Drosophila melanogaster: one gene and its partners. The protein of the gene in region 4 interacts with the protein of the main gene of each other region in a pairwise test. Each region holds a gene or a part of one and is shown on either strand. Other genes may lie near its edges.

What was found.
Region 1: the proteins of CG18371 (region 4) and Mis12 interact in a two-hybrid assay, tested with the Drosophila melanogaster proteins (one large-scale study listed by BioGRID).
Region 2: the proteins of CG18371 (region 4) and PVRAP interact in a two-hybrid assay, tested with the Drosophila melanogaster proteins (one large-scale study listed by BioGRID).
Region 3: the proteins of CG18371 (region 4) and CG42559 interact in a two-hybrid assay, tested with the Drosophila melanogaster proteins (one large-scale study listed by BioGRID).

The regions. Positions count from the first base shown.
Region 1 is NT_037436.4:6,966,059-6,971,283, reverse strand, and holds Mis12 (Mis12), read left to right. Parts: upstream 1-2,235; 5' UTR 2,236-2,349; coding exon 2,350-2,419; intron 2,420-2,482; coding exon 2,483-2,775; intron 2,776-2,887; coding exon 2,888-3,070; 3' UTR 3,071-3,249; downstream 3,250-5,225. Other genes in the region: CG9953 (uncharacterized protein), read right to left, coding at 1-402, 465-603, 665-1,452; CG10064 (uncharacterized protein), read left to right, coding at 3,477-3,901, 3,964-4,668, 4,741-4,970, 5,033-5,225.
Region 2 is NT_037436.4:5,994,732-6,001,517, forward strand, and holds the start of PVRAP (PVR adaptor protein), read left to right. Parts: upstream 1-2,476; 5' UTR 2,477-2,922; intron 2,923-6,786.
Region 3 is NT_033778.4:23,599,026-23,604,658, reverse strand, and holds CG42559 (uncharacterized protein), read left to right. Parts: upstream 1-3,871; 5' UTR 3,872-3,971; coding exon 3,972-4,054; intron 4,055-4,109; coding exon 4,110-4,220; intron 4,221-4,278; coding exon 4,279-4,345; intron 4,346-4,403; coding exon 4,404-4,601; 3' UTR 4,602-4,612; exon of another isoform or gene 4,613-4,702; 3' UTR 4,703-4,708; coding exon of another isoform or gene 4,709-4,779; exon of another isoform or gene 4,780-4,838; coding exon of another isoform or gene 4,839-4,902; exon of another isoform or gene 4,903-4,964; coding exon of another isoform or gene 4,965-5,111; 3' UTR 5,112-5,133; downstream 5,134-5,633. Other genes in the region: Eglp2 (entomoglyceroporin 2), read left to right, coding at 1-266, 603-824; Eglp1 (entomoglyceroporin 1), read right to left, coding at 1,107-1,292, 1,357-1,759, 1,815-1,942; CG43209 (uncharacterized protein), read left to right, coding at 2,224-2,285, 2,336-2,402, 2,459-2,650; CG10332 (uncharacterized protein), read left to right, coding at 2,927-2,985, 3,039-3,108, 3,177-3,383; IM18 (immune induced molecule 18), read left to right, coding at 3,490-3,705; CG42560 (uncharacterized protein), read left to right, coding at 4,709-4,779, 4,839-4,902, 4,965-5,111.
Region 4 is NT_033778.4:14,025,670-14,030,648, forward strand, and holds CG18371 (uncharacterized protein), read left to right. Parts: upstream 1-2,950; 5' UTR 2,951-3,064; coding exon 3,065-3,397; 3' UTR 3,398-3,427; downstream 3,428-4,979.

The DNA of each region.
Region 1 (5,225 bases), on a different chromosome or scaffold from region 4:
GGAACCGTGCACGTACAACACATTTGTGGTCTTTGGCTTTAGGGCGCCATAGTTATCATTTGTGGCGGACACCACCAGTTTGAGGAACTTGGCGTTCATATTCTTGGAGAACACATCCATGCACTGGCGTATAAAGAAGTCGACACCGAAGCGATCACCAAATGTGTCAGCCGGGTTATCCGAGGTCTGATAGAAGCCGAATTCGTGGCAGGTCTGATATGTCCACTGGCGCATTCCCTTGGCCGTCTCCGAGTCCCAGGAAACGTTCTTCATGTCCGCCACCATCTTGTCGTACTTGTAGTCCAGGCAGGTGGTGTTCGATTCCTTCAATAGCATATCGTTGACCAGGCCCAAACGGGTCACAGGTGGACCAGCCGTGGTGTTTAGCATGACATCGCAGATCTATGGAGTTCAAACATTCTTAGTATGGACTTGATAGGGATCAAAGTGAGGATGAAACACACGTCGTCAATGGTGATGGTGGCATGGGGACTGTTGTCCTTGTTGTATTGCACCACTCCAGCAAAGTTGCCAGCCAGATTCTCAAAGAAATTGGCCATGTCCAGGTCGTTTTCAATGGAGTCCTTGATGGGAGTGCATGTTCTGAGTATAAAATGGTTTACAAAATTAAAATTTGTGCAGGACGATAGCCTAATCCACTCACTTGAACTTCTCGTCCAGGCTGCGTTGTCCAATCATGTGCTTGAGTAGAATCTCCACTTGCGCAAAGCTGCGGGTCACGGCGTCCACGCATTCGGGCTTGTAGGCAGCTAGAGAGGCTTTGACCACCTCGAAATACTCCTTGAAGTCAACCTCAGCCAGCAGAGGACCACTGGAGCTAATTGAACCGTAGATGAGCTCGGGATACTTCTCGCGTGCCCAGGCGGCCAGCGATCCCGGATAGGAGCCACCGAAAGCGATCCATTTCTGGCCATCGCCCAGATTGAACTTAACCTTCATGGCGGTTACAAAGCTGGCCAAGTCCTCCAGAGCCTGCTCCGAGCTGAGATAGTGCAGATTTTCGGTGGACAGATCAGCGGTGGGATGGCTCTTGCCATAGAAACGATGCTCCAACTGCAGACACAGCGCTCCAAAGTGCTCGGCATAGTGCACCCAGGCTCCTTCGCGCATCCACTTGGCCGACGCCTCGCCCTCGCCACCGATCATCAGGAATACGGGTGCGGAGCTGTCATTCCGATAGAAGTCGGCATTCACAAAGTATCGCTGCTGCCAGGTGCGCTTATCGCTCGACTTGAAGTGATCCAATCGCTGCTCGAACCACAGATCCTCCGAGTGCAGGCTCCTTTGCAGGGTTGGAATCTTGCTGGGCTCCCCGAGGAATCCCTTGGTCAGCCTTCCGCGTCGAAATCCCATTCCGGAAATGGGCGCAAGCAGTCCCAGGAGCAGAAGACCCACTCCCAAGGGCCTCAAAACGCCCCCAATGAAAAGCATATTTGCTTCCTTTGTTTGTTCGGGTCAAGTAGAATTTGCCAGTAATTGAAGTATTTAATTAGTTGGAACCTCGCACAGTGCCTAACTGTAAATAGCGACTGAAGGAGAGTGGTGTGTTCTATTTATATAGGCACCGTTATGTGTGTCGCACTCTCCTGATTATTCAGTTCTCGCTGTATTATCTATATTCGCAAAGCCGGCAAAGCAAAACTAAAACAGTAGGGGCATTCATAGTTATTGATTTCAATCATTAATTGAATTAATTTAATTTTAAGCAGAGAAAGATTTCTGTATGCTGTAAGTGTTCTGGTAACTTTACAAAACTTAATTTAGCTTTTTATTTATTTATATTATTTCCTAGCTAGATATTATCGATGAGCTTAATAGCACCGTAAATGTGAACGTGTTTTGCAAAATTTTTGTCAAGTAATTAAGAAAAGTATACATTCTTGCATGCTTTGATAATTTCCATCTGCGTGTAATTTTAAATTCTCACTGAACTAATTTAATGGAAGTTTCCTGAATTTCAAATGCTTTAGGTAGCTTTAATAAACAACATATAGTTTATTTGAATTATTCCATATATTAGGTAAATATTATTGTGGAGTTTCACTGTGCCGTTAATGCGAAAGCTTAATAAATGTATTTGTCAAAAATTTTAGGAAATTGTGCATGTGTATGCGTTGTTTTTATATTTTTCATCTGTATAGTCAGTTATAAGTAGCCAAATTTAGTAACTAGATTTTGTAGCTAAGTATGGCAGCACTGTTGCTGTGGTAGCATCTCTTTGTATTCTGAAAACGGTAACACTAATTGCGCGACAATTTGGATTGTTTACGTTTTTATCCAGTTTAATTGTAATATAATTTAAAAAAAATATTGTTGTTAACTGTCATAATGGACTTCAATAGCCTAGCCTACGATCAGAAGTTCTTCAATTTCACAGCGGCACAGTTGTCTGCAGAGCGTGAGTGCTACATCCTTATATCTCTGGATCAGCGTCCTTTATCCATTAATTCCTTTTAAATAGGCGAACATATTGTGCAGGACATAATTAAGAAGGGTATTGGTCAGATCATCGACAAGATCAAGACACCCGCCACAGCGGAATTGCTGGAAGCCGAGAAGGAGACCGTTGAGCGTCGTTTCCAGGCATCCGCCTCCAAGGGCCTAAAAGCCCTCAGGGAACTGGACAGCAAAGTGTTCCACGTTCCACCGCATGTGCTGCATCCGGAGCACATGTTCGTCGAGAATCAGTATACCAGCGAAGAGGAGGAGCAGAAGACAGCCAGGTTGGAGGAGCTGAAGGCCAAATACAGAGAGGTAACTTGTAGAACCAATGGAAACTATCTTGTATGCCTCATTTTAATCATTATAATGGGGAAAAGGATGCTTTATTTTATGTTTTAATAATGCTAAATCACATCAATTTCAGAACATGGCCATGCTGGCGCATTTGAAGATCGAGGAGGAGAAGTACGCCGCCATGGAGGATCTCATCCAGAAGGAGATCGAAATGCAGGATCGCGTGCAGCGAAGCTGCTCCTCCCTCAACATCACCAAGCTGAAGCAATTCTGGAATCAAGTGCCCCTGCAGATAAAGAAGGAGACTGATTAAATAAACTAACTGGATCAAGTTTTTTAATCTACATTTCCAATATCTTCTTTCGAAACTAGTTTTAACCCTGGAGTCATTTATAATCACTAAGACTCTTCTATATTCCACTTTACCTATTATTATGTCGTTAACTTAGTTTTAAACTTAAAATTAAATTAAATTAAAATTATTATGAATCCGAAACACCTAGATGATTACTTACTAGTTTTAAACCAATTTACCTTAGCATTATATTAGTTCCTTTGACAACAGCGGCAACCAAGCAACGGTCGCTGTTTAAATTTTCCAACTGCCTTGTTTTCAAACAGAAAACAAGCCGGTTAAAAAGTTTCAAGCACAGAACAGACACAAAAACCCCCTTATATGTTACATTTCGAATCGTATATTTTGCTATAAGCCTGGAAAAATGGGAGACTCGCACGATGTCTGCAGGCAGCTGCTGCCGCGCGCAATCTTCGGCATCAATGGCAAGGTGGAGAATGGAGTGCGCCAGCATCCGGTCACGGGATCCATCATCTTTGCGCTGGGCAACAAAATCGGCATCGCCGACTACAAGAAGAATACGCAGGAGTTTGTGGCCGGACACACGAACACCATATCGTGCCTGGATCTCAGCAAGAGTGGCAAATACATGGCCTCCGGTCAGATCAATCACATGGGCTTCCGCGGCTATGTGATCATCTGGAATTACGATCAGCGCAAGGAGATCGCTCGCCACGATCTGCACAAGGTATCTGTGCAGGCCATCTGCTTTACTGCCCAGGATAGATGCGTTGTGTCCATCGGTGGCGTGGATGATGGTTCCGTAATTGTCTTCGACATGGAGGCATTGTAAGTTGTTCATATCAGAGCTCATGCTTGAACTCCTTCAATGACTTCGTTTGCCATTACAGCTCTCCCATTTGCCAAACACCCGCATCGAGGGCCATCTCTGGAAATGCCTTGACTGTCCGGCCGTTGCACAACAATCCCTACTTCTTTGTGACCGCCGGCGATCGCCATCTGCGTCTGTGGAGCATCCTGCGTGAGGAGAAGAAGCTGTACGTACAGGATGTCCTAATGGCCAGCAAGACACGGGTTTTCTACTGTGCGCGCATCAATAAGACGGATGAGTTTGCCTATCTGGGCACCGGAACTGGGGACATTGTAAAGATCGTGCTCAACTGCTGCGATCGTGATCATGTGAGCAAACAAGGCTCAACCAGCTGCATCCTCGGAGCCTTCGGCACCCACAATCCCAGGAAGCCAACGGGCAGGGACTGCAATCGTTATGTGAATGGTGTGCGTGCACTGTATGTCCTGGAAGGCGGACGTCTGCTGATTGGAGCGGGAAATGGTGATATAGAGCTGGTGGAGGAGCGTACCGATGTGCCGCTCATTAACTTTCGCGATTATCCCGGACCCACATGGCCATATTTGCGCACCCTGAAAAAGACGCACGTTTCGGGCAGAATCTCGTCCTTTGTGCGCTCGAAAACGGACATGTTTTACATCTGCACGGACACCAACGAGATCTATGGGCTGAATATCAAGACTTGGGTGCTCAAGCTGCTGCGAACGTGCCACACCAAATCGGTCTACTGCATCACGTTTCCCAAGTGAGTTTGGATGGAACTAACCCTTCTACTTGCAATCTATTTGCTACAATTGATCATATATATGTATTTAAGGAACTACTCTGGTGTCTTTGCCACGTCGGGCAAGGAGTGCATCCGCATCTGGTCGTCTGGTCGCAAGCAGGAGCTGCTCCGCATCATGGTTTACAACTTCAACTGCGCCTGCGTGCGCTTTACCCACGATGGCACTAGCATAGTCTCCGTTTGGAACGATGGCATCATTCGCGCCTTCACTCCCATCACCGGTAGACTCATCTACGCCATACCCAACGCGCACAACAAAGGTGAACTTTGGGAATACCAATCCTTCTAAGCCTTCTTACTGAAATCCTCTCGTTCAACACAGGTTGCAGTGCATTGGCCGTGGCCTCGTCGGGTCGCTTGATCGTCACTGGCGGCATCGAGGGACAGGTGAGGGTGTGGAAGATCGATCCGTATCGCCAGGATCTCGTCGGCGTGCTGAAGGATCACTCGGGGCCCATAACCTCGCTGGATATCAACTATCTCGACACCGAAGTGATCTCCGCCTGCACCGATGG
Region 2 (6,786 bases), on a different chromosome or scaffold from region 4:
GAGTGGCACTTGAGAGAGGGTTTCTATGCCGTTCTAGTTGCATTCCACGAACCAATAAGTAATAGTTGTGTTTTTTGTTCTTTGGCAACAAAGGAGCTCGAGAGCACCTTGCCATTAGCCAGCCCAGGGTTTCCTTTTCATGTCTGTCTAGAAAGGAGCGCTCTTAGACACTTCGTCTGCTTGGGGAGATCATTATGTATACATATATGTGCACCCTCCATCGATATGGTTACATCATCATGCGGGCAGTTGTCTTTAATTCCCATGTAACAAACAATTAAAAGAAGGCAGGCAGCGCAATATTCGGAAAAAAATTCGCCATGCATTTTCTGGCGGCGTAACGCTTCAGTGGATTAAATTAAATTCCAAGAGGGATTCACCCCAATTCCATGGGAATGAAATCCACACATACAACTCAATTAAGCTCGCTGGCAAGGGAAAAACTTAATTTTATACTTAATTGCAGCATAAACGGGGCGTGGGTGCGCGGGGTCATCGGAAAATGGTGGCGGCTAGGGAAATCAATTTTAGCCTCCGTTTGATCCTTGAAGCATATGCCCCCCGTCAATTGATAAGCAATTTTCCAATTCGCCTACAATTTCCATTTTAATAGAAAAATCCCACGCAACACGATGAACAAAAATTTCGCACTGCCAAACTGCCAAATATGATGAAAGGCCGGGTGGTGGGCGTTAAATGAAAAATGGGCGTGTTCAGCTATGTATAAAGCCAAATTCAATATACAAATTCAAATCATTCAATTATCTGCGGCTCAACGCGAAGCTCCATGGCTTTTTGCAGCGAGGGGAAAAAGTTGAATCAATTTGGCAATTGAATTTCATGGAAAGTTAGGGGCAAGCGAGTGGGAGGACTTAAACAAGTAAAATAAATGGCATTTATCAGAAACAAATCAAATTTCCGCTCGTAATGTAAGCAAAACGAGGAAAAGATACAAGAAAGATAAACAGAAATTGGCAACCAGAAGTTGGGTTTCCTTTAAATGGTTAGGCAAAGGATAAAAGCCGATAGATAAATTTGGAACTTTTCTTAACCACCTGTTTTCCCTTTTTCTTCGTGAAATATGCAAGAAAAAAAGCCTTTTTAGGCTTTTAAAATACATAATAAAATCCATAAAGGATAGAAAATGTTTGACGTAAGCCGGCGTACAACTGTGAAATGCAAATTTCAATCCGCAAAGTTTTATTCTTTTAAATTCTTTTCTGACAACTTTTTCAATAAATATATTTCTGCCAAATCAACTCAGCTCACCTGTCCCAACATTTTTCTCCATTTTTCGCGTATTCCATTTCAATTTACAGCCATTAAATCAACGCTGACTGGGGAATATACTAGTATCTATGTATATATACACGCGGATATATGCTACTAAACAATGCTGTAAATAAACAATAAAATGGATGGCATATAAAAAGAAGATTGCACGCCGGCGCTTACAGACGGAAAATCACGAAATATCCACGCGAGTTTCCATTTTTCTTAGTTGATTTTTCCTCCTTTTATTAGTCCTTTTTATACGTGTGCACGTATCGCCGTGTATCTATGAGAAATACGAGATTCCAATTTGGTACACGGCATTGGATTACATGACAACGACTTTCCACTCACTGCCGTTAATGAGTTCAACTTCGCATCGCTGACTTTTCGATTTATCCATAGGTTCTTCATTTGTGAGTTTTGAGTGTTCAGTTTCAAATTTTGCAGCTGGATTCGGACTGCTTTAAGATGCCGCCACGCCCTGCAACATGCGGTTTTGTTTGGGCTTCTTGGCCAGGTCAATCTACTGCTCGCAAAACCGCAACATGTCGCTGCTGCTTGTGGGTGTGAGCTGGGCTACTGTATCTAAATCCGTATCTGTATCTCTGTTTCTCAGTATCTCAGTATCCGCATCTGCCCATCTGCATCTCCATGCCGAGTAGTCAGTGTATCCTTAGCTAAGCCTCAGCTTAATGCGCTTGCATAAACAATGGACGACCCTCCGTATCTTCATCTCATCTCCGCATCTGTAAGCGGATTTGCCCTAATGTCATTCGACAGTCCTTTCTCCTTTTCAGATGTTTACCGGCCCTCTTTTAAGTCTCTGAAAAGTATGCACTGCTAAACGGTCGCATAATTAGATCAGCTTCGGATTTCAAACTAGTGGATGTTTGGGCGCATCAAAGGTTGCCACCGGCAAAAATCGTAATAAAATCTTATCAAATTCATGGCAGTAGGAAATGAGAAACCGTTAGCTTATGAGAAAATCAAGTTGTCACGACAACCATGCACATATGGCAGTTCTTTGAGGATTCGATTGGCAAGCCAACCACCAGTTGAATGCAGACTGGAAAGGTCCTGTCCCACTCCAGACATCCACATTCCGAGGAAATCCAGCGCATGCGCTGTTGTGGATGCCAAGTTTCGTGGCAGGATACCAAGTTTCGGGCTTAGCACAAAAATGCCAGCACATGGGGCCAGGATAAACAGTTCCTTGCGCGCTTTCAACTGCAAAGGTTGCCCCAAAAAGGCACCTAACCGTATACAACTGGCAGATGCCCAAAACTTCAACATTGTCCGAAATTCGTCGAAAGTCATAAAAACTTAACAAATCCCCCAGTTTAGCACAAAGGGTCGTTTAACTTTTAACGACGCGACGGGGTAATTTTATTGCCAGAGTCGTGGCCCGATAACAGTGATAACAAAGTAGCCGCGTTAACCAAAAAAGTTTCACACTTTCCGTGCTCGAAATCAAAAGACGTAATCGTAAAACGCGGCCAAGTGTTGCGATTTATGAGTTCACAATCGTAATTGAATTTTATGCGAAAACTTTGGCCAGTTTTCCTTTGGATTATTGTGGCAATAAGACGAAAACGCAAATAAAGGTCGTGAACATAACGAAAATTGCCGCCAAAAATTGATACTAAGGTGAGTGGGACACACGACAAATTTCATTATTGGCTCCACATCCTAAATATCCTTTGGATATACAAGTCTTGTTTGTTGGTCAATTTGGGTTTATTTTATCCCTTTGTTGGGATCAAAGTCGGCCCTTTGCATCCTTGACAAACAGTGTTAAAAAGGTCAGTAGCCTTGACTTGAAAGAATTGCATAGGCTCTTGTTTCGCTTCGCTGCCTCCGGTCCTTTCATCTTCTCTATATAATTATTCGCAGAGAGTTTTCCCCCCTCTGCATTTTGCCACCTTTTGGCACTTTGGCTGCACATCAAAATGCATTGCAAACTTTTGCCACGAAAGCTGCTACACTTTCTGGCCTCGTTCGGCTTAAAGTTATCAGCGGCAAATGGGGGTGCAACGGGCTCCAAGGATAGGAATCAACTTTTTTCGGGGTGTCGCCGTACTTCTTGGGGCAGACTTCCTGTTAAGCTGTCAACATGTTTGGAGTGAAGTGTATCAGCTTTTCCGAAAAACTTTAAATTCCTCGGGGCGTTGAAATGCACGCGAGCATGCCCGAGAAAAACGTTTCGGTGTGAATAAAGTAATATAAAACTATGCCAATTCAATGGAATGTACTGCTCTTGAAAGACTGCTTTTAAAGACCTTTTTTTATTAAAGAAACCTTTTGGTTTTCTCTGAATTCAGCAATGAGATTTCGTTGATAAGAATATGATCTTTACTTTTATAAATACTGATTTTTTAGGATATGGTAAAACTTAAAGCAATGCTAGCAGTTTAAAAGAAGGAATCCAATCAGAACGCGTCCGTTAAAAACTGTTGTCGATTTTATGGCACGATTATAAAGAAGCGCCCAAGTCGAATTACTTGCCACAGCACACTTTTGGGGTTAATATGAAGTTCTGCTGCATTAAAAAGCACTGCGGAAATTAATGAAGATAAACCCCTGGACAAACTTTGGCAATCCACTGGCTTACACTTAAATCTGTGGCATAAAAATGCACTTAAATGCAGTCACAAAATAAGATACACAAGGCCACCGCAGCGTCCTTCCACCGCCCCACGCCCACCACGTTTTCCGAACCCCTCGCCAAGCCAGCAACATTTTCCTTGAAAAGCGTCGCCAAGGAAATGTCAAGCGGCGGTTTGTTGGCCGCAGTCGCATTCGTATTCGCAGTCGACACTTCCGCAGCGGCGACAGGTGCTGCCTGTCAGCTGCATACGAACCGCGAATTTTTCACCTCACCACCCACCGCTTTTCCGCGACACTTTTCCCTCGCCGCTCTTGGCCGTGTCAAGTTAATCAGCAAGCCATGGTTTCTGCTCTCCTTTTTTTCGGTGGCTTTTCAGCATTCCATCTTTGTTTTTTTCGGTTGTGGGAAAAAAAAAATTTCACGCCCGCAACGAAAACTTTTCATTTTCAACAAGCGAGTGAGCGAGCGTTAATAAGGTATAAAAAAAGTTAGGGGAAAAAAGGCGGAATAGCAGCCTCAGACAAAAGAGCCTCATAAAAATGGAGCTTGTTTGTTTGAGCTAGAAGCGACTGCTGCTCCTACTTCTATTTTTCCCCATTTTTCTCCCTTTTTCCTGAAAACCCGTTTATTTGTTAAAGTTTGCTGGTGTTGCTCTTGGCAGTGACTTTGGCTTCTGGCTCTTGTCAAGTAGCTAAAGACAACAAAACAGAGTCTAAATGAAAATCTGCTTTTATTCCACTCACTGGCACATACGTACACGAATGAAAAAGAGTTGTCATATACAGATTTGATAAACTATAAAAAAGGGATTTAATTTTTTTATTCAGGAAATGTATGAATTTAAGTTTTGCACTTCATTTAATAAATTTCGTTATTAAGTCAACCTGTGGCTTCTTATTCAAAACGTATTTGTTGGCCTAAAGTGTACTGTAAAATAGTATTTTGTAGTAGCTTAAATCACTGTTGAAACTTATTAAAGGATCCTCGTTTTTTTCGGTGCATAAGCGCCTTGTACATGTGCCATAATTCACACTGCTGCTCAGCAAGCGGTACAACGAAAGGCTTTTAGGAGTTGTCTCATTTTTCCGCACTCTTTCACTCCTTGAACGCCTACGCCACGCCCACCTGCTGTCGCCCGGCATCGTTGACATTTTCATTCATCGTCTTGGCAACCGTAATTAAAATCGTTTTAATTTACTTTTGCCTCACACACACACACCCGCACACACTCGCACACAAATACAAGCAAACACATGCAAGCCCACGCCTTCCGTTTCCTGTGGAAAGTGTAGCACACTTATCAGCGCTTGTCTGCGTTGCCTGGTTTATGTTTATCGACTTTTGTTTAGCGGCTGATGCTGTTGCTTTTCTGCTGCTGTTATTATTTCAGTCTCTGCCCGCCGGCGGTATCCTTACCGCTTCCCCCCTCCATGCCTCTCTCCGCCACCATCGCCCTACTCATTATGTGGGCGTGCAAATTGCTGCATATTCATTTACCGTTATCTCTTTCTTGTCAAGTAAAACACACATTTTACTACAACAACAGCTGCTGCTCCGGCTGCCTCCTTCACAGCCTAGCCACGCCCCCATCCGCCACGGATAGTAACCATTGCCATCATTCTCCGCCCACTCCTCCATGTTCTTAATAACATAAACTTCTTTTCTCTCAGCGCCCGAGTTGAGTTAATGAAGAATTTCCATGACGATGTCGTTGCCCGTGAGCCCGTTATTTCACTGCGAAAATATTTACAGAAATTCATAACTTCATGTATTATATGGATTTTAAAGAAAAATGATTTCCTAAATAAACATTCAAGAATTGAAAGAAAAACATCAATGCTAAGGTTCCAATTAAGTAGTTATAAAATATTTATATTATCTTAAAAGTACTTATTTTTTCGAGTGCCAAAGCATATCTTTTTGTATCAATCTTTTGATACCACTCCTGCCACCTGCTCTGGCTCATTATATTGTTGCCTTTCGTCGAGGATGGGGATGTTCAAGTTGCCTGGGCAACAACAAAACGTCTACAAATTTGCCAGTCGCTCAGCCGCTTCAGTTGGCTTGAAGCGTATTAATTTTGCTCATAAAATGATTCCCGATAAGATTTGATCTGTGTTTGCCTTGAGACTCCTTCGCTAACCCATAGAATTTGCCAGCCTTTTGAAGTTGACTGCGCACTTGAGGAGAATGGCGAACGTTCTGTGCGGATGATTCGGAGTATGAGGTATTCACCTTTGGCTTAGTAATGAAAATTCTGCGACGGCATCATCGTCGTCGTAAGCCGCTTAAAATTGCCGAGATGATGTGTGCATATGAGTAAAATCTCTGGGGCTTAGTTGGCCCGCTATCAAAACACTCGGCAGCACTTCAAGCGGCTCGGCAACATTTCGGCACCAAAATTGCCATTTCAATGTTGCCAGCAACATGGCGCTCACACATACACATGCATATTCACGGCACATCGCTTCTGTGGGCTTGTGTCTGTGTGCGATACACCCACACACGGAGAATATTTCGGAACAGGCGCTCAGCCACGAGTGTTGGCGAACACGCACTTCGCAGAGATATTCACCCACACACGAGCACAGAATGCAGACTCACTCACTCACAGACACACTCACAACTACGTACACGTACGCACTAAGCAGGCAAACAAAATCGTCCTGGAAGTTGCCAAAGCAACGAAAAAAGCGAGAAAGCCGAGCAAAGTAAGACACTCTTTTTCGAGGACGGTGGTGGGAAGGGAGGGCAGCGGCTGGTTGAACGGGGCCAAACAAAAGCGAGATAAATAAGGAGCACACCGTACACCAACACACACACTCACACACATAGCAAGAGAAGCATCAGACATTGAAACTGTTTTCAGGAGTGTTTGTGTGTGTGAGTCGTAAAACGGTCGC
Region 3 (5,633 bases), 9.6 Mb from region 4:
AGATGGTGGGCGCCTTCATTGGCTACGGCCTGCTGAAGGCGGTGCTCCCGGAGAGCGCCATCTACAGCGCTGAGAACCCCAATGGCGTCTGCCTCACCTCGCTCAACAGCACCTTGACCCCATGGCAGGGACTGGCCGTGGAGTTCCTGATCACCTGCGTCCTCATCTCCGTGTGCTGCGGCGTCTGGGATCCCCGCAATGCCACCAAGCAGGACTCGCTGCCAGTGCGATTTGGTCTGGCCATCGCATGCCTGTCGCTCACAGCGGTAAGTTGATTATTGTTCGGAATAATTCAGATACAGTATTAGATATATCTTATTTTGTAATCCACCTTAATGTCTGTTTGTCCAAGTAATACCGATACAGATAAGACTGTCTGCTCTTAAGAAATATCAAATTGACGATCCGCTATGCTAAAATTCCATTCACTATCTGTTTTCAATTTATCAGGCAAATGCACTTGACTTTCTCGGTATCGATGATAACCTTTCTTTAAATGGCATATATACACTTTTAATATAGACATTTTAGCCATCCCATGAAATGCAATCAATAGGTATCAAAAAAATGTTCTTAATAAACAATTGTAAATCCCCCAACAGGGACAACTGACTGGGGCTAGTATGAATCCAGTCCGATCCTTTGCTCCGGCCATTTGGAACGGATTCTGGGATGACCACTGGATCTACTGGGTGGGTCCCATGGCGGCTGCCCTGATCACCTCGGTGATCTACAAGCACGCCTTCCGGCGGGAGCTGGAGGAATCGGAGGTGGACGAGACGACGATGTCAACCAAGAGGACCTCGGAGGCGGAGCTCGCCTAAATGGATTTACTACACATAGGACAAGTTATCGTTTAAGTTCGTGTTCGTGAGAGCGGAGAGAGCGGATAGTTTTAAGTTGCGAAGCGTGCAAATAAATAGCTTAAATAATTTCCAACGCCTGACGACTATATATTTAATCTAATGTAAATGCTATGCTTATCTAAGCCAGATTATTTTTACGCCACGGCGAACTGCTTATCGTTAATATTTAATTGCTCATACACTTGATCAAATAAGCCACACGGTAGCCAAAAACGTCGAGCTTATGTTTATTGTCACAGCTCAGTTGCACACTGGAATTTCCAAGGGCTTATAAGGTGGCGTATACGCATGATTCCACACGAAGGGCACCATGATGGCGGCCAGGATCTGGCCAGTCAGCTGCATTAGAACCGAATTCGGACTGCCGTAGAATATGGCAGGCACCAATGTCTTGGCGGGGTTCATACTGGCTCCAGTTAGTTGAATCTGCAATAAATGCATATATAGCTATAGTATCTATAGATACAAAATCCAAAGCCTTTCAACTCACCCCTGCGAAACTGCAAGCGATCACGAGGAGACCCATGCGAATGGCGACCGAGTCGAGGAACCTTCCGTTTCGCACGTCCCACAAGGAGCACCATCCGAGCACGAGGACCGCGGTCAGCAGGCACTCGATGATGACGACCTGGTATGTGGACAGAGTGTCCATCGGTTGTACCAGGCAAATGCCTGGCTTGCTTTTGTCCACCAGCTCCTTGGGCAGCAGTTGCATTAGCAGGAAGTAACCAAGGAAAGCACCGGCCATCTGACACACCACGTACATCATCATCACTTCCAGGGCGATGTAGCCCATCAAGTAGCATGAGATCGAGATGCATGGATTCGAATGGGCTCCGGATACGAAGCCAAACACGTGCATCACCACCATCACCGTCAGGCCATAGTGAACGCTATACGATAGAGTATTTAACAATATTCTATTATAGAAATCTCACTAAGCATCACCTGGCCACCAAGAATTTGCTCTCACCACCTTGGTTCGTTGAGTCTCCCATGCAACCGAGCAAAATCAGTAGCGCAGTGGCACTGAACTCGGTGGCTCCGCGTATAAAGGTAAAGAAGTCCCAGATCATCGTGAATTATCCGTAATATGTAATGTATCACAGACAATTTAAGGAAAAAACTAACTAACTAAATGATCACTGACTAACTATGTATGTCTGAGTATTGATTCTCCTACCGAATTCGTATATTGGAAATGTTTAACAAATATATTCGCAAAGCAAGAGGGGTTAGGTTTACTTGGATCATTTGTTAGCCATTTTTGAATGTGTTTTTGCCTCACCTAGTTGGCGTGGAGAAACTTATTAACGAAAAAAGCATAAGTACACAAATTTGACGCAGAGCTTAAAGTATGTTTCGGGGGGCTTATAAGATTCTTACTTTTTTAAAGACAAGAGATACCATGTTTCTATGGTAAGTACGTCCGCAATGTGAGTTCCCTTAAATCCACAATTTCCATGCAGCAAGAGACGACCGTTTAGCGATCTTTTTGACAAAGGAGGCAGTGGCGGTATCGACACGTATCATGTTGTGAGTATCTCCTAACTAAACATTTCAATGACTCATAAAGAACGTTTACCTCCAAGAAACATTTGCAGGGGAACAAGGGAAAAGAGGCAAGGATCATGGAACTGACCGCACAAATCGAGTCACTTGAAATGCAAATCAAAGCCCTTGAGAAAAGTAAGTCGTCCGAGGCGAAGACTGCGAGGGGTAAACTTATATTAGTGCTCAAAGAGTTGAAACAAGCCCTCCGAAACATAAGAATGAATAAATAAACATAAAACTAAATGATTGCAACAACTTGTTTGTACTGGCAAGGGCGATGGTAATTTTACATTTGACATGCGTAACCAACGCGCCACCTATGGGACAGCAAGAATGCGTAGCATAGTTTTTGGCATAGCGAAGAATGAGATAACTATAAAATGTGGTTATATGCAGAATTTCAGCTCCATATCAGCAGTTTGCCAGTTTGAAGTATCTTCAACACTTTGCAATTACTTTCAAACTTTTAGAGATAATCAAAATTAGCTGTTTTCATTTTCGTAAGCATGGACATTAACCCAATAATCAGATCTATTCTCAGCCGCTTCAGAGGCTGCACCATCAGGTAGGTTGCATTCTGTGATTATACATATTCAATCATAACATTTTGATATATAGAAGTTATCTGGTTGTCCTGCCCGATCAGAGTCGCATAGAAAATCAACTAAAACTGGAGGATCTGCAAACAGTAAGTTGTTACCTTTCAAGATAGATGATACAAAAATCGAGCGCCATCTAATCAAATCCCATCGTCAGGAACGCGGAATCTTGGATCTGCAATCCCATGAGCTGGCACTCAAGCAAAAGCGCGTCGAGGCCAATCTAACCGACCTGACCCGCTGCATCCGTGGCATGGAGTTCGATGTGAAGGTGAATTCCAATCGCGAGAGGAAGGAGAGAAAATCTGATCGACGCCCCCCAGCTGATAAGAAATCACCCAAAGTCGGTGATTTCAGCGAATAGCAAAATCCCCCCGGGTGCTTCCCAATCCCAAGGGCATACGAGTGCAGCGTATAAAAACAAGCTATTGCCGGAGGTCGGCATTCAGATTCACTTGAGATTGCCAACCATGAAGCTGATCGCATTGTGCTGCCTGCTCCTTTTGGGCCTCCTGGGCTTCCTAGCTGCTCCCGGCGTCGCCTCGCCATCTCGCCACACTGGACCAGGAAACGGATCGGGATCTGGAGCTGGGTCCGGAAATCCGTTCAGGTCTCCAAGCTCACAGCAACGACCACTGTACTACGACGCTCCGATTGGGAAACCATCGAAGACTATGTACGCCTGACGTAAAGAATGAAACAATAAAGATTTGAAACGCCTAAACTAAATTAATCGCCCAGTTTCCTTATCTTACTTATGAAATGGCCTTGATACACATCTGCTTACTATTTATAAAATGCGTAATAATTATTTCTAAATTTATTGCAAATTCTAAATTTCATATCGAAGTAGTTGCTTTTGACCGTACGTCAAATATCCACATTGTACTTTCAGACTTGTAAAATGTATTTCTGCCACACTGATTTCGTTCTATCCTAAACTTAAGAAGCCATGTTTCCTGTTGCACGAATCTTAGGCTCGGCATCGTGCAACAGGCTATTTCAACCTCAGGTGCTATGTCAAGAAAGAGTTTGGTATGTAGTACTGGAAATTTATCCAAACTTTATTTGTAAATCTTCTAAATATTAGTTGGCCTTCCAATGAGTTGCACAGAAATTTACCAAGGCATAGAAACTTTTACCACGGTAGAAACATTTTCCACCCAAGGTCGAATAATAATTTAAACGAATTTCCTGCTAAGTAAGTATTTTATTATTCAAATGACCCGTAAAAATAATTTTTTTTTTACATATGATAGACGTCAATTCACTGACAAATTTTCCGAGAAGGGCAGAGGCGAGGAACTTAACTATGTTCTCAAACTTGTATGTATCGAAACTATTTAATGTTGTGAATAACCTTGTAGAATTGGGTATTCCATAGGCCTCAGAGCAATTTATGAAGATAAAAAAGAACAGGGTTAAAGAAATCGCCAATGATATCGTCAAATTGAAAGAGGAGATCAAGATTTTGGAATCCAAAACTAGCCACAAATCAAGGAAACACAAGGAGAATCTGCTAAAGGAATTGAAAGCTCTGAAGGATTTGTTGGAGCAATTCAAAAAGAGTCTCGAAAAATGACCTATCAAACGGTAGGCTATCACTTTTAAGTTTGTCAATATTCCACCTTGAAATACCTCATCAGTTACTATAGTAAATTCCAAATTATCTTCCTCCGTAAGGATACAATGCTGAAGTTGGTCGAAAAGCTTTTCCAACTGTTGCGACCCAGGATGTGTCAGTTTTCACAATCCAACAAGTGAGTTCCGTGTTCTGAGCACTTATGGCTTCGCTTATTAGATGCATCTCTGTATCCAGGAACATATCCAAGCATTTGTTCGAAAAAGCCAGGGCGGAGGAGAACATACATTTCCTTAAACTGGTTGGTTTGTGATCTCAAAAAACGAAAGTAATCTATTTAAATTTAATTGCAAATTTACCCAGCAACGGGAACAGCTGAAGTCGTTGCGAGAAAAGATTCTCAGCCAGAAGAACGAAGTCACAACAAAGATCATCAAGGTGGATAAGCAGATACAATCGTTGGAAAAAACCAAGACCGAAGGCTCACAGATGAACCATGAACAAAATTAATAAAGTGTAGCTGAAACATTTGCTTGTTTTGTTTTGTATTTTATTTAAAATAATTTGTATCTCTCATTTACACGCTTTACAAAGAAGTCTTCTACGACAACTGAAGCCGAGTTGGCGGCCTTCTTCAAGCCTGCTTATACGTAGGGTACATACATATCATATATTATATATGGTAACAATTTGTTTTGCAGCGCAAACGGAAAATATGAATTAAAAAGAACTTTCATGTAATATGGCATTGAAACAAACATATATAGGGTCATATATATATCAACATAGTCTATACAAAGATACAAATAAATACAAGTTCAAGTAAGAATCAAAATCAGAGACAACTGCCGATTGTGTATGATGCATTGACATATATAAGGTTCTTCTCTTAGGACTATGAAAAATAATCTTGTGTGCATTTCATGTTCGTTCAAATCGTTAGTTGTGGGGTAGCAGAGGTCAAGAACGTAAGTACAATACATTTGTGGTAGTTGAGCAACTTGGAGAGAGTGGTTCCCATACGAACTAAAA
Region 4 (4,979 bases):
TATCCGAGCATTAAGGAGTCGCCATTACTGGAATGTTTGCATCATCGTCGAGTTATTCTGATAAGCCTGATAAGTCAAGATCACGGGTTACGTATACGCAGCGTGGGACAACTCAGCGATTGAGTGTGCTTAACCCTATTCTGAGTGGATTCTCGAGAATCCGCTGACATTCAAGATAAATCAGATTGGAATGAGTATAAATCAGATTTATAATTAGAATATCGTTTTAATATCCGTTAATATATTACCATCTGGGCTTTATTTTTTATATCTACTACGTTTAGAGGCCATCATTTTTCTCCCTGCACTGCATAATAATTTTGTCATTTGCGTAAACAATTTAATGTGCGTGTGTGCGTGAGTGAGTGAGATATTAGAGGCCAAGTCAAGTCTTCGTAGTGCGAGTTTCTGCTGCTCACCCAAGCACTCCCCTTTTGAACTCCGCAGCCATTCGACTTCTTTCTCTTATTATTCCAATTTTCCTATGCCACTGTAGCTGTATTTTTCCCAGCTTTTCCTCCGCTTTTCCGACCGCTTTCCCCGTCGCGCGGCTTTGAAGTGTTTACATTTTGCATTTGAATTATCGCCGTTTTATATGCTTCGCTTTGATTTTCTATTCACTTGTTGTTATTGCCCTGTCTGCCTTACATTATATTAAGCTAATTTTAGTATTTAGCTTTCGTTTGCATTTCAATTCAATTTGGAGAAACGGTGGGGAAAACGCTGTGGGCTTGAAACAGACCGAGTACTGTACTTTTTTATTTTTAATTTCCAATTCGATTTAATTGTTGTTCTTGGCGCTGACGTTGTTGTTGCTGTTCCAAGTTGTTGTTATTTTTGTTTCGCCTTTTCCGATTTGATTTGTGTTAATGTGTGTGTGTGTGTGTGTGTGTGTGTGTGTGTGTGCTTGGCGCCGTTTGGCTTGGCGGCCAAACGTTCTGAACAATAAAAATTTTGAACGAAACGATAGGAAAATGCTTTGACTTTTAGGTATTTGAAAACAGTATTAGCATGGTGTTCATACTTTAAACAGAAACTGAAACTTCAAAATCCAAGAAATATGTTGCAACTATGAAAATCAGCTAATCTATAAAGATGATATCAAGACCACAAGGAAATAACTTAATAACAATAATACATATTTTTTGGTATGACCACTTTATGTATATATATATATTTATATACAAAATTGATCTTTAAAGAAACCCCCTTTGTTGATATCAGTGATTAAGTGCAGTTGAATTTTCCCTGTTAGCCTTGCTTATCTGGTGTTTATCCGTTCTGCAAGATCACTCAATTTCTCACAATTTCTCTCTTAGCTGCTGGTGGCTCTCTTTCTCCCACTTCACGCAGTTTGCCTTCGGAGAAGCTGAGTTTTGTTTACCGACTTGCTGTTGTTGTTGTTGTTGCTGCTGTCGCAATTGAAGCGCAGTTTCTGGCAGCAACAGCATGAGCTATAGTATCTATAGATATACCGATACCTATACTTATGCCTACATGTACATACAAACATATATACCCGTTCGTTCGTAGCTCCAACGGCGAGGCATGCGAAGTCCCTTCAAGCGTTTCAACGTACTTTTTTTTTTGCTGCGCTTCGGTTTGTTTGATTTGGCTTGCTCACCTTCGGCTCGACGGCAACAACAACAACAGCAGCAGCAGCAACAACAACAGTATCGAACGGACGTCGACGGAGGCAGCGACGGAACTGCGAATTCGATGGAGACGTCGGTGGCGGTCTCAACCTGAAATCCAACCTGAAACTCGAAACGAACCCGAGGCTCGTGCTGTGTTTCATTTGAATGGGCACACGACGAACGGAGTTCGAGTTGGATTGGCCACAGTGTGCCGGCCAAATTGGAAGCCTTTGGTTCCACTTTGCGAAAACTTTTAAATTCGCTTAACCAAATTGACAGCTTTAGGGCCATTTCAACATACGTACACGTTTGGTTTCTTAAAATGTAGATGGTAAAGGGGGAAAATCTTTTCGGTTGCACGCTAACGTCAGGGTGGAAGAATGAAAAGCAGTTAATTTCTAGAGAATATATCGTATCGTTAATATTTAATAGTCTTCCTTACAAACCTTAGACATAATTGTGAAAAAGTATAATTTATGTAGTCATCGGGAAACCAATTTCTGGAAGCTGTCGGACGAGTACTTGTAACTGTAGTCATTTATCACAGGCATCTTTTGCAAATACCTTGGCTCAAAGGACCTCATTTCCCCATGCTCTCCCTTTTGGTCTCTTTCTGTCTACCCATCCCGCTTGCACTTGATCCTGTGCCTAGGCCATAAATATCGTATTAAATATTTGCCTTAGTATCGCCTGCGATGTCGGCGTTTCGCGTTTGCATTAACGCCGAATGTTGTCTGTTTATCTCGCTAGTTATTGTTCGCGCTGCCCATAGGTGGTGTTTTGCCATTTTCGAGGGGGGTGTTCATGTGTCCATGGGCCATAGGGGAAGGGGAAGGGGGAAGGGGGAAGGAAGGAGGCTTGCTGGCAAGAGGAACAAGGGGGGGGGAGGGTTTCGGCTCTGGTTTGGTGGTTGCAAACTTTTGTGGCATTGCCAGTTGATTGGATTGCCATGAGATGAACTTGGCGTCGCATGTGAATGTGTGCGTGTGTGCGAATGAGTGTGGCAAGTGATTTATGAGTCCCCAGTGCTGATATGGGATACGCTATACGCTATGGATATACAATAGATACAATGTCATTAGCGCTCTCGCCGATACACTGCTCCTTTTTCCAACGTAAACTCCCTATTTCTTTCGTCGATTTTAATTTAAGCACATAATGGCGATATCATTGACACCCAGTAGTTTAACATTTAATTTTAGCAAGTTTTGCTTGTGTTAACATTATTTGGGTTTCACTGTGCTGCAGAGCGCACATTCCGAAAGGAAACACTTAACTGCTTAAGGGAATCTAGGAGCTTGCGACATTCCTGTAACGAACACTGACAAAAATCAACTAAATTTCAACAAGTGGAGTTTCTGTTTCTATCTCTCTCTCGATCGACAATAAGTTGGAGTTATTTCTAGAAAAAACGAAGCATATTGAAGATGATGCAGCCAGCGGAACAGATCTTCTCCTGCGGATTCGAACTCTTCGGGCGAGTACAGGGTGTGTGTTTGCGGAAGCAGACACGAGATCTGGCCACAATGAACCAGGTGCGCGGGTGGGTGATGAACACGGACGAGGGCACGGTGAAGGGACAGCTGGAGGGCACACTGCCCAAGGTCAACGTGCTGAAGTTCTGGCTACTGAATATCGGCAGTCCGCGCTCGATTATCGAGCGGGCGGAATTCACGCCCACCAAGGAGATCACTTCGCACAACTTTAGCCGATTCTCGATTCGCTACCACAATGTGGCAGCAACGAAAAAGGCCATTTAATAAAGAATTTAGACTTGTAGTCTACTACCGAAAATTGGAACTGTGTATTTGCTGTAACTATTTGTTTGGACCTTTAAATTGAGCTGCCTACGAATGGAGCCCAGTTGTGCTTCTGCGAGCATCATTTATAAACCTCTAAAATGAAAAACAGGCTGCTGCCAGCCACTAATTAAGCCGCACAAAGAAATGCTCAGCGCAATTACATGGAGGCTGGCACATCCACTATGTACTTATTTTAATATATGTATCTACAAAGTAAATATATGTACATATGTATATATATATATATGTGAGATGACTTGGTTAGACAGACACCTGCAGCTTCAGCTTCAGCTTCAGTTTTAGCCTCGGCTTGGCCACATTTCCAGTTGAGCGACGCCCCAAACTGGCAATGAGTTTTTACGGCACACAAACAGCAGCCAACAGGCAACAGACAATACTGGCTATAAGGAAAATCTAGAATAACAACAGAGAGCCACAAATATTTATCGCAGTGCGCTGAACAAGAACAGATTGACTATTTGATTGAAGGTGAAAATCTAGTAAGTCGTGACTTCTCAAGGCGGAAGGAAATGCCTTGAAATGCATTTTTGGGTAAATGTTATCTGTTATGAGAATAACGGTAGATATATATATATGAATTATACGTATACATATATGTACGTAATCCGCTGTCTATTCAACGAATGCATTTATTGCATAGGAAGTTAAGATTTCAAGTGTTGGAAAGTTCACTGTACTGTTTCCGAATTTCATTATTGACAGTTACATGTGTTAGCCTGCTGTTAGAAAAGTGCAAGCTGGTTTCTTAAGTAATATACTAAGTAATATTAAGTGTAACTCTGTTTGTAAATACCATATTTCCGAATTTGATGATGCTTATTCCGATTTAAACCCGTGTGGTTTTAAATCAAAATCGGATTGAAATCAAAGTGCCACATGCATGTCTTATCACATTTTCGAGTTGTCCAAGTGTAACTCGTAACTCGGAGCGAGAATCCAGTTGCCCAGCGCGCCTAGCTGTTGGCGTTGTAGCTGTTGTTGTTGCGCCCCCAAATGCCCTCCATGGGTCGCTGACTACCACGACGCCGCCACTGCCACTGCTCGGGCGATGGCGTCACTGCCGGCGTCTCTGCCGCCGAAGCACTGCGCATAATCACAACAAAATCAAACAAATGAACGGCACTGACACAGCGGCAACACCAACGGCAACAGCAGCAGCAGCAGCAGCAGCAACATCAACGCAGCGGCAGCAACATCACCGCAACAGCAACAGCTTCGAGTCGCGTGTGTGCGTTCATGTGAGGTTGTGTTGGCAACTTCGTTGCGTGTGTAACAGGCGCCCAGATTTTCCGAGAGAGCTGAAAAAGAACATTTTCACATGCGGAGTGGGGTGGAGTGTTCCCATTTGTGGATGTTGGGTTTGCGGAATTTTTATAGGTTAAGCTGTAAGCGGTGTGAAGAGAGGGGGGCGAGAGGAGTGTTGTTGTAGAGAGGAGGCAAGGGGGCGTGGCAGAGAGGCTGGGGCGAGCGAAGAGGGTTGCTGGTGTGGCCTTAACTAGTTTCAGCCGGCCGGTGTCGT